Ovis aries: one gene and its partner. The protein of the gene in region 1 purifies or fractionates together with the protein of each later gene. This does not show direct contact. Links are inferred from orthologs where the notes say so. Each region holds a gene or a part of one and is shown on either strand. Other genes may lie near its edges.

What was found. Proteins that work in one complex are often made in the same cells at the same time.
Region 2: the proteins of FAF2 (region 1) and UBL4A purify together in Homo sapiens (affinity purification with mass spectrometry; 3 studies listed by BioGRID and IntAct, with this or other methods). This does not show direct contact. The link is inferred for Ovis aries from reciprocal best matches to the Homo sapiens genes FAF2 and UBL4A.

Annotation. Positions count from the first base shown.
Region 1 is NC_056058.1:35,638,397-35,642,566, reverse strand, and holds the start of FAF2 (FAS-associated factor 2), read right to left. Parts: upstream 2,873-4,170; 5' UTR 2,850-2,872; coding exon 2,787-2,849; intron 1-2,786. UniProt on the Homo sapiens protein: Plays an important role in endoplasmic reticulum-associated degradation (ERAD) that mediates ubiquitin-dependent degradation of misfolded endoplasmic reticulum proteins.
Region 2 is NC_056080.1:79,953,692-79,957,925, reverse strand, and holds UBL4A (ubiquitin-like protein 4A), read right to left. Parts: upstream 2,826-4,234; 5' UTR 2,783-2,825; coding exon 2,735-2,782; intron 2,582-2,734; coding exon 2,476-2,581; intron 2,175-2,475; coding exon 1,960-2,174; intron 1,852-1,959; coding exon 1,745-1,851; coding exon of another isoform or gene 1,741-1,744; exon of another isoform or gene 1,311-1,740; coding exon 1,187-1,310; 3' UTR 1,184-1,186; exon of another isoform or gene 295-1,183; coding exon of another isoform or gene 183-294; 3' UTR 129-182; downstream 1-128. Other genes in the region: SLC10A3 (P3 protein), read right to left, coding at 3,697-4,234. UniProt on the Homo sapiens protein: As part of a cytosolic protein quality control complex, the BAG6/BAT3 complex, maintains misfolded and hydrophobic patches-containing proteins in a soluble state and participates in their proper delivery to the endoplasmic reticulum or alternatively can promote their sorting to the proteasome where they undergo degradation.

The DNA.
Region 1 (4,170 bases):
TGTTATTTCACTAGAGAGTTAGAAAAAACCTTTGGTGGGTCCTCATGCCTACATATTAAGCTTTAAACCACTGAACATTGCTCTGAAAAGGTTCCAAAATCTGGCTCTAATTTACCTTTCCAGTCTTATTTTCAACTTCCAATTCTCCAAATCCATCACAACAAACACATTCCACATTATTTCACAGTCATATCTCAGCTCTGAACATGTTTCTGCCCACCTCCAATCATTTCATTTGTTCTTCAAAGTGGCAAAGAAGAGTGGAAGGAGTCCTTTAAGTTCAGACCAGACCCACTAGATTTCTAATTCCATCCCCACTGCTTAATAGCTTAATTATCTGGAGAAAATACTTCAAAAGACCCATTTCCTTACCTAGGAGGCATATCACCTGTGGCACCTTTACAAGGCTATTGTGAGAATTAAGCATAATCATTATAAACTGTTTAGCACCATGCCTGAGGCACAGTAGAAACTTAATGGTAACTACTAAGCCATCTTCTTTACCCCTCCCACCTTCATCAATACTATTATTCCCTAAATTTCCTTTGTTTATACCACTATGTTTATTACACTTATGAGCAATAATATACTGAAAAATATCCATTATTTACGTATATATCTGGTTTCTCCAATAGCTTATAGGCAAGATGGCTATGGGTATGGATTTCTAAATCTCTGTCACTTACTACTTCAGCAAATTACCTGGCCTCACAGAACCTGTTTCTTCGTTAATACACTGAATCGGGGTTAACACCTTACAGTGTTATGAAAAGGTTTAAAAGAGCTGATGTACATCAAATACCTGGTATAATGCTTGACACCTAGTAAATTTCGGAGTGTTAATGGTAATCCGGATGGTGAATCTAATCCAAGCAATTGCTTAGAGAACACACAAATGTAAAATGTACTTGCCTTATTAAATAAAGCAATCTTAATACAATTCTAACTTGCTACTCACCTCTCTTATTGATAGAAATATCCAGTGAAGACAAAAACAGAGGTTCCCATGCACTTTATCTCAGAAATGCTACCCCATATTCATGTTCTTCCAAGACCAGACTTAGTACTTCACGACTTATGGTTCACATCACCTCATTAGACTTTAAAACCATATGGGGGCTTATCCCTCAAGAGTTGTAAGGAATAAAATGATCTGCCAAAGTTAAAGAAAACTCTGAAATTAGTGGTCTACCAGGAAGCGGAAGCTAGTTGTCCGCTCTTTATTCATTCTAATTCTAATCTGCTGTGTCATCCATTTCTCTACTCAGAACTCCAATCAAATGTCAACTACTTCTATGACAGTATTTTCCAATCTATATGCTTCCAACCCACTGCTTGATTTAAGAGAAAACACTTCAAAATTAACTGCAGTGAAATCAAGGAAACCACAGAAGAGCTAGAACTTACAAAAAGGAAAAAAAAAAGTATTAGTGCACTGGCATTCCACTTTCAGCTGTATACTGCTACTCCCACGTGTTGCATAGCATCACCTCAAGAACGCAGGAAATGCTGAGGAAATGCAAGGAACCCGGCTTTAAATCTGACACCATAACCTACTAGTTGTGTAAACCAGGCCTGTTACTTCTTAAGCCTCATATCCCTCATCTTTATAGAGACTGTAACTATTATGAATCTCATAGGGCCATTGTATTAAATACAATTGTTGTATTAAACAATTAAATTCTTGTATAAAATACATGAGTGTGCCAAATGTTTTAGCAAAGTACTTACAACACCACACTCAATAAATGGTGTTCTAACCATCTGGTGTTATTGCCTGAGCACTACAGTTCTTGGTAAATACCGTGGAATTAATGAATACTTAGCACAGTTTATATTAGGAAATAAGTGTACCACTAACTTTAATTCTACCCTAAGTTAAATAAGGATTAACAGTTGCAATACTGTTTGAAAGAAGTTTACTGTTTATGAAGCCCTTTTAAACATCCATAAACTCACTGTGATCTCCACAACGTCCTTAGGGGGTAAACACTTAAGATATGTACCACAGAAATAAACTGGTACCCACTAGGGTAACACAGAGCCAAGGTAACCTAAGTTTCCTCCAACCGGATTCTCCAGCTCTGGGATAAGGTGTTTAGTGTCAAAAGTTTTTAACCTACACATCCACTAAAACGAGGCAGACTGCAGCAAGTGTACCATCCATCCTCCTCAAGCAGAGCCAAGCGCGTGAGTCCAAGAATCAGCTCCAGGAAATAAACCCCTTCAGAAGGCACAGATGACATTTACAACGCGGCATTGTTTCAATACGAGGTGTCCTCCCACACCTTTAGGGTGGGGGCCATTTCTGCCCCCACCCTACCAAAGCGCCCAACACACGACCTGGCACCTAAAAAGCCATCAATAAATGTTTGTAGAAATGGTATGGGAAGTTGCTGAAAGGCTCTAACAGAGACCCGAAACGAGGCCAACTCCACGGTGGGGATTAAGCATCTCAGCGGATCCACAGTCGTGGGCGGAGAGGGTCCAACCGGTAACCTGGCTGGAAAGGATGGCTGAGGACGGGCACTGCTAAAGGAGAACTTGGAGAGCTGACCCTCTGATGAGAGCGAGAGCAGGTCTGGCCGCAGCCATTCCTGGAAGGCCGGGGACAGAGGTTCGGAGGCCGGGGGCACCTAGCAGGGCAGTTGGCGGCTGGGGGGGAGGGGGACCTTCTGCTGGTCTGAGAAGAATCTCGGGCCCAATCTGAGCAGGGTTCTGGGCTCCTCTAGGGACCCACTCCCTAGCCCGCGGCAACATTCGCTGCACCGAGTGCTCGCTGCTACCTGAAACTGCAGCAGCTTCTCTGTCTGCTCCTGGGTTAGATCCCGCTCCTCAGGCGCCGCCATTTTGCCGCCGCCTCTACGCTTCTGACCCGTCCGCACCGTCACCCGCCGGAAGTGACCTCAGCAGCAACCACATCCGGTCTGAACGGCCGCCGGCGCTCAACTGCGTCTGCGCGTGCCGGCCCAACCCAGGGGCTGGGGAGGGGTGGAAATGGTGATAATTTCCGCCGCCAGAGGGCGCCTTCTCTCGTGCCGACCCCGAATACTTCCGAAAATAGTCGAGGAACTGTGTGGACAAGTCGCCTTTTGGAGTCAGGCGAAGGCAGGATAGATCCTTGAAAGAAAAGTTATGACCAACCTAGACAGCATATTAAAAAGCAGAGACATTACTTTGCCAACAAATGTCCGTCTAGTAAAGCTACGGTCTTTGCAGTAGTCGTGGGAGTGAGAGTAAGGAAAGTTGAGCGCCGAAGAATTGATGCCTTTGAACTGTGGTGTTGGAGAAGACTCTTGAGAGTCCCTTGGACTGCAAGGAGAGATCAGTCCTGAATATTCACTGGAAGGATTGATGCTGAAACTGAAACTCTTAATACTTTGGCCACCTGATACAAAGAACTGACTCATTGGAAAAGACCCAGATGCTGGGAAAGATTGAAGGCAGGAGAAGAAAGGGAAGAGAGAGGATGAGATGGTTGGATGGCATCAGCGACTCAATGGACATGAGTTTGAGTAAACTCTGAGAGTTGGTGATGGACAGGGAGGCCTGGCATGCTGCAGTCAATGAGGTAGCAAAGAGTCAGACACGACTGACTGAGTGACTGAACTGAGATGAACTGAATAAGTCAGGATCTTCCAGACTTACGACCCTTGAATAGACCGCAGAGCCAAGAGGTTCCGAATGCTTTGGTTACTCCCGAATGTCACTAGACAGATTTTGCCTGCTCTTTAAGCATTTTCATCTCCAGTGTTTCAGAATATTTCTTAAGAAATTGTGGCCATTCCGAAATATCAGTCATTTGATGTTTGATTCCTGCCATGATGTTTCCAAAAGCCCCTGACCATCTCTAGGAGGTTCCGAAAGCCCCCGAATACTGAGCCAGGGGCGGGAGGCATTTCCCCTCGCCGGCTTCGAACCAGAAGCTGGAAGATTAGGGGCTCATGAAAATTGTTGGGACTTGGCCACCTGGGCTCTGCCAGACGTAGGCATAGCTCTCTGTCCACTCCTCTTGGGACTCTGCCCCTGCCTGCCGGAGGCCTTCTCGGGTCTCTGTCCTCTGCCCCGTCTTCTCTGTGAGCAACCGAAGGAAGATCCTATGAGTGGGATTAGAGGACCTGGATTCAGGTTCCAGTGTCCACGTGGCAAAGTACCGGACATCCTTGAGCA
Region 2 (4,234 bases), on another chromosome or scaffold:
TCTCTTGTGTCTGTCAACAAGACCCGTCTGCACGCGTCAGCTCTCCCCGAGGACCCGGCCTTCCTGAGAGTTGCCCTCTCCCTTCCACAGCCCACCCAAGCCCCTGATAAAATGATGGAGGCACCCGGTTCTAAGCATCCAAAAGGGACAGCGTTTATTTGTTGGGGCAGCTGAGGAGGAAGCTACGCTAGAGGACGGGAAGGTGCTCCGTGCTGGCTGTGACCGAGGGGTTCGGTGGAAGCTGCAGGCAGCCATCTTCTGATCCTGAGGTAGAGGCCTGGGATGAAGCAGACACTGCAGAGTGCAGAGGGGAGGTAGGAAGAAACTGGGTATTTGGGGAAATCATTTATCTGCTGCCAATACCCCTGGACTTCTCAGTTTCGCAAACCAATACCTTCTCTTTATTGCTTAAACCTATGTCCTGTAATGGTTAAATCAACGATGGGGAAACCAAAAGCAGTTCAACTAATAGAGTTCCTTTCAGGTCAAAGTCTCACATGCACCTCTAGTGTGACTGAGAAGGTCAATATAAAATTTCCTGACTACAAAGAAATGAGAGCGTAGGGAAGTCTATCACATGAACCTTGTGGCAGTGCATGCCCAGCTCCTGGGTGGAGCCATGGACTTCCACCTGCTCTTCAAAGCCTTTGGCCCTCGAGCCACTGTCTGTCCTCCCCACCTGGGGACCCAGCACTTACCCTATGAGGCTCAGGCCGGAGAGTGGCCCAGGTGCCCTCCTCTGAGGAGCAGGTGCCTAGACGATCTCTACGACCCACCCCCCAGCTTCTGCCCCCACCCAGGTTCCCTCTCAGACAGTGAGTGGTGTGCACAGTGGGAGGCCCTGTCCACATGTGGCAGAGGATGGGCAAAGGGTACAGGGGCCTGCTCGAGTCACCTCGAGACCATCACCTGTCATCTCTAAAGGTCATGGACCGCTTGTGTCTGGGAGGAGAAAAGAAGGGGGTGCCCAGAGAAAATCTGTGACACTAAGGGCCAGGACATTCCGTCTCTGGGCCACGCTTGGCCATCACTCAGAATTTGGCCTCAGTTTGTATCTGGGACACAGGAGTAGGATGCCTACAGACTCCTGACCCCAGGCTTTGGAGCTAAAGAAAACTAAGAGAGTCTCAAGAACAGCCCTCACTGAGCAGAGTTGAAGGCTGGGGACCAACGTGGCACCTACGTGTCACTCCCCAGAGTCGGGTGACATCCTAGACTCCCCAGCCCGCCTTCCGTTTGAGTGCATACTGGTTGCAGTCACTAAGGGGGCCCAAGGCTGGCCATCACCTGACCTCTTGCCAATGCCGGACCTGTCAAGGATGAGGTGACAGAACTGGGCATCAGGGGCTAGCTGCTTCCCCTTCCAGGCCTGGAAAAGGTATTGCTCGAGGGTTTCTCCTCAGTGGGCTAAACCTGGAATGTCCATGGCCACCCCTCAGAACCCGTCTGAACGACCCTTTTCTCCTTCTCACCCTGAAGTACTTCTGGAAGCTGGCTGGACTCAGAATCTGGCTCCTTGCCTTCTCCGCTAGGAGCCTCGGCTGTCTCACCTTTTGTGCAACATGTGGGAGCCAACCTGGGTCAAGAGCTTTGAGTGGGGCCTGGCACCTAACATGAGCCAGATACAGGTACCCGAGTACCCGCCAGGCAGTATTATGAGCCAAGTTGCAATACAAGAAGACATTTAATGCTACATGCAGCTTGTGGCCTGGCCAGGCTCCTCCCCACACTCCGAGAATCCTACTTGGAGAACCCCTTCTCCATAGCTTCAGTCGCTTCGGGGTGCAGGAAGCGGCCAGCCAAACGTTCAATGTCATCCAGCGTCAGGCGGCTCAGGGACCGCTCATAATCCTGAAGAGAGAAAGCCAGAAGGATTCAGGGGTGTGGCTTGGGGCGGGGGGGCCCGCTGGGACAGAGGCAGGTGGGCAGGATGCAGAGGTCCTGGGCCACGCTTCTCACCCTCTGGAGTTGATCCAGGACTCTGCTGGCATCGGCGGCGCTGAAGTGCTGGGCCAGGATTCTGGAAATGAGCGGCCAGGCGGCGGGCGGTGGGGCTGGGGCCTCGGCCGTTTTCCGCGCAGTGCTTTCTTCCAGCAACACCTTCTCCAGAGGTTTGACCACTAGGTTGAGCTTGGAATTCGGCCCGATGCTGTAATCGGAGAGTCTTTTCCCATCTGTCCGAAAGAGAGAGGGAGAGGGAGAGAGGGAGAGAGGGAGAGAGGGAGAGAGGGAGAGAGGGAGAGAGGGAGAGAGGGAGAGAGGGAGAGAGGGAGAGAGGGAGAGAGGGAGAGAGGGAGAGAGGGTCGCACTGACCCTCGGAGAGCCTAGGCGAAGCGCAGCGGTGAACTCCCGGGATGGGGGTGGGGGTCACCTAGCCAGAGCCCCCTCCACCTACACTGCTGCCCGGGCCTGGGCTGGACGCCCCGTCCCCTGGCTTCCCGCGGGTCTCCCCCAGCGTCCCCTCTTCCTGGTTACCTGCCAGGGCCTTGCCCTTGAACAGCAGCCGCTGTTGGCGGACGGGGATGTTCAGCTTTTCGGAGACCAGATGTTTCAGCGTGGACACCAGCTCGTCCTCCGACACCTGTCCCGGCCGAGAAAGGTGGGCGGGGGGTGAAGCCGCGGCCCGCGCGGAGGGTGGCTCTCCCGAGGCGGCTAGCCCGCCGGGTCCGTCCCTTCCCGCGGCTCGATCCCGCACCCGCGGGGCTGACCGCGCAACCCAGCCCGGCGATGCTACCTGAAGGCTGCACTCGCGGCCCTGGAGTGCCTTCACCGTCAGCTGCATGGCGGCCGCCGAGGCGTCCACTCGGGCCGGCGCGCACCCCAACGGTCCGCCGCCGCGCGCCGCCGCCCCGGGCGCGCGCCGGAACCGCCCGCCGCCGCCGGAAGCATCGCGAGGGGCGAGCCGGGCATCGCGGCCCCGCCCCGCCGGCCCCTCCCCCCACAACCTGGACTGTCCTCCGCGGAGCCCGGGGCGACGGAGCCCAGAAGCCCGCGGAGAGTGGAAAAGGGTGGCGGGACCAGTCGGGCTCGCTCGAAGGAGTTGGGGAGCTGGGCCCGGGGAGACGGCGGGCCGGGAGTTCGCGCGCCACCGCCCGTGGGCAGAGCAGGTCAACGCTGATGCCCATCCCATCCCCTGCCTCTCAGGAGCCTGCAGAAGACCCGGCCCCGCCGAGCTCGTTTCACCACCCGCCGGCCTCTTTTTTACTTCACCTGTGGAAAAGCAACTGAGCTTGGGATCTGGTGGGGGAGTCAGGCCTCTGCCCTTCCCACTGCTTCTTCTAGAACAGATACACAGCTCTCAGAGGTGATGCAGGGGCGAGGAAGGCTAAATCTGGCCAGAGGTCACTGTGTCGCCAAGCCAGCCCTCCATCCTGGCCCACACCTACCTGGCCACACCACGCCCTTCCTTCCCCGACCCGCAGGCCTCAGAGGGCAAAGACAGCATGATACCCAAGCTTGCTTCTGTTTTATTGAAATATATTTTCTGGGCAGTGCCCGCTTACAGAACTCAGCATGGCCTCTTTGGCACTGAAAGCTGGAGAATAAAAAACGAGTAAAAAAAATAAGCCTGGATTTTTTTTTTTTTCTGAGTGCATAGTGCATGAGAACTAAAGGCCTTTGGTACACAAGAATGGTGGGGACAGTTGATGGAGGTTGGGGGCTGGGGGTGCCTGGTGAAAGCTTGACCCGGGGGCCTCAGGGAACGGTGCACACGCTGCTATAGATAAAGTGGCCAATTACTAAGGCCAGCATCTCCGAGGTGCCACTAAGTGCCACAAGGAAAGGGGCCTGGGAGGCATAGTCAGCCTGGAGGCGGCGGAGGGACAGCTGCAGCATGGCCAAGGCCAGAAGGCTGTTCTGCACCCCAACCTCGATGCTGACAGTCCGCCGCTGGGCCACTGGCAGATTCAGGCATGTGGCCAGGCCGTAGCCCACCAGGAGGCCGACCAGGGGCACTGTGAAGCCCACCAACACGATGGGCAGCCTGACGCCTGCCAGGATGAAGACCCCCATGCGGTAGGCCAGGAAGAGGCCACCCAGGAGCAGCACAAAGCTGAAGGGCTTGATGACATGCAGCAGCAGCTGCGAGAACTTGGGGAGCTTGGACTTGATTACCACGCCTGCTGCAATGGGGATGGCAATGAACAGCAGGGTCCCCAGGATCTTGGAAACAGGCACATGGAGTGTTTCATGGATGCTGAGCAGGCGACTGTAGATGGCTGAGGACAGCGGC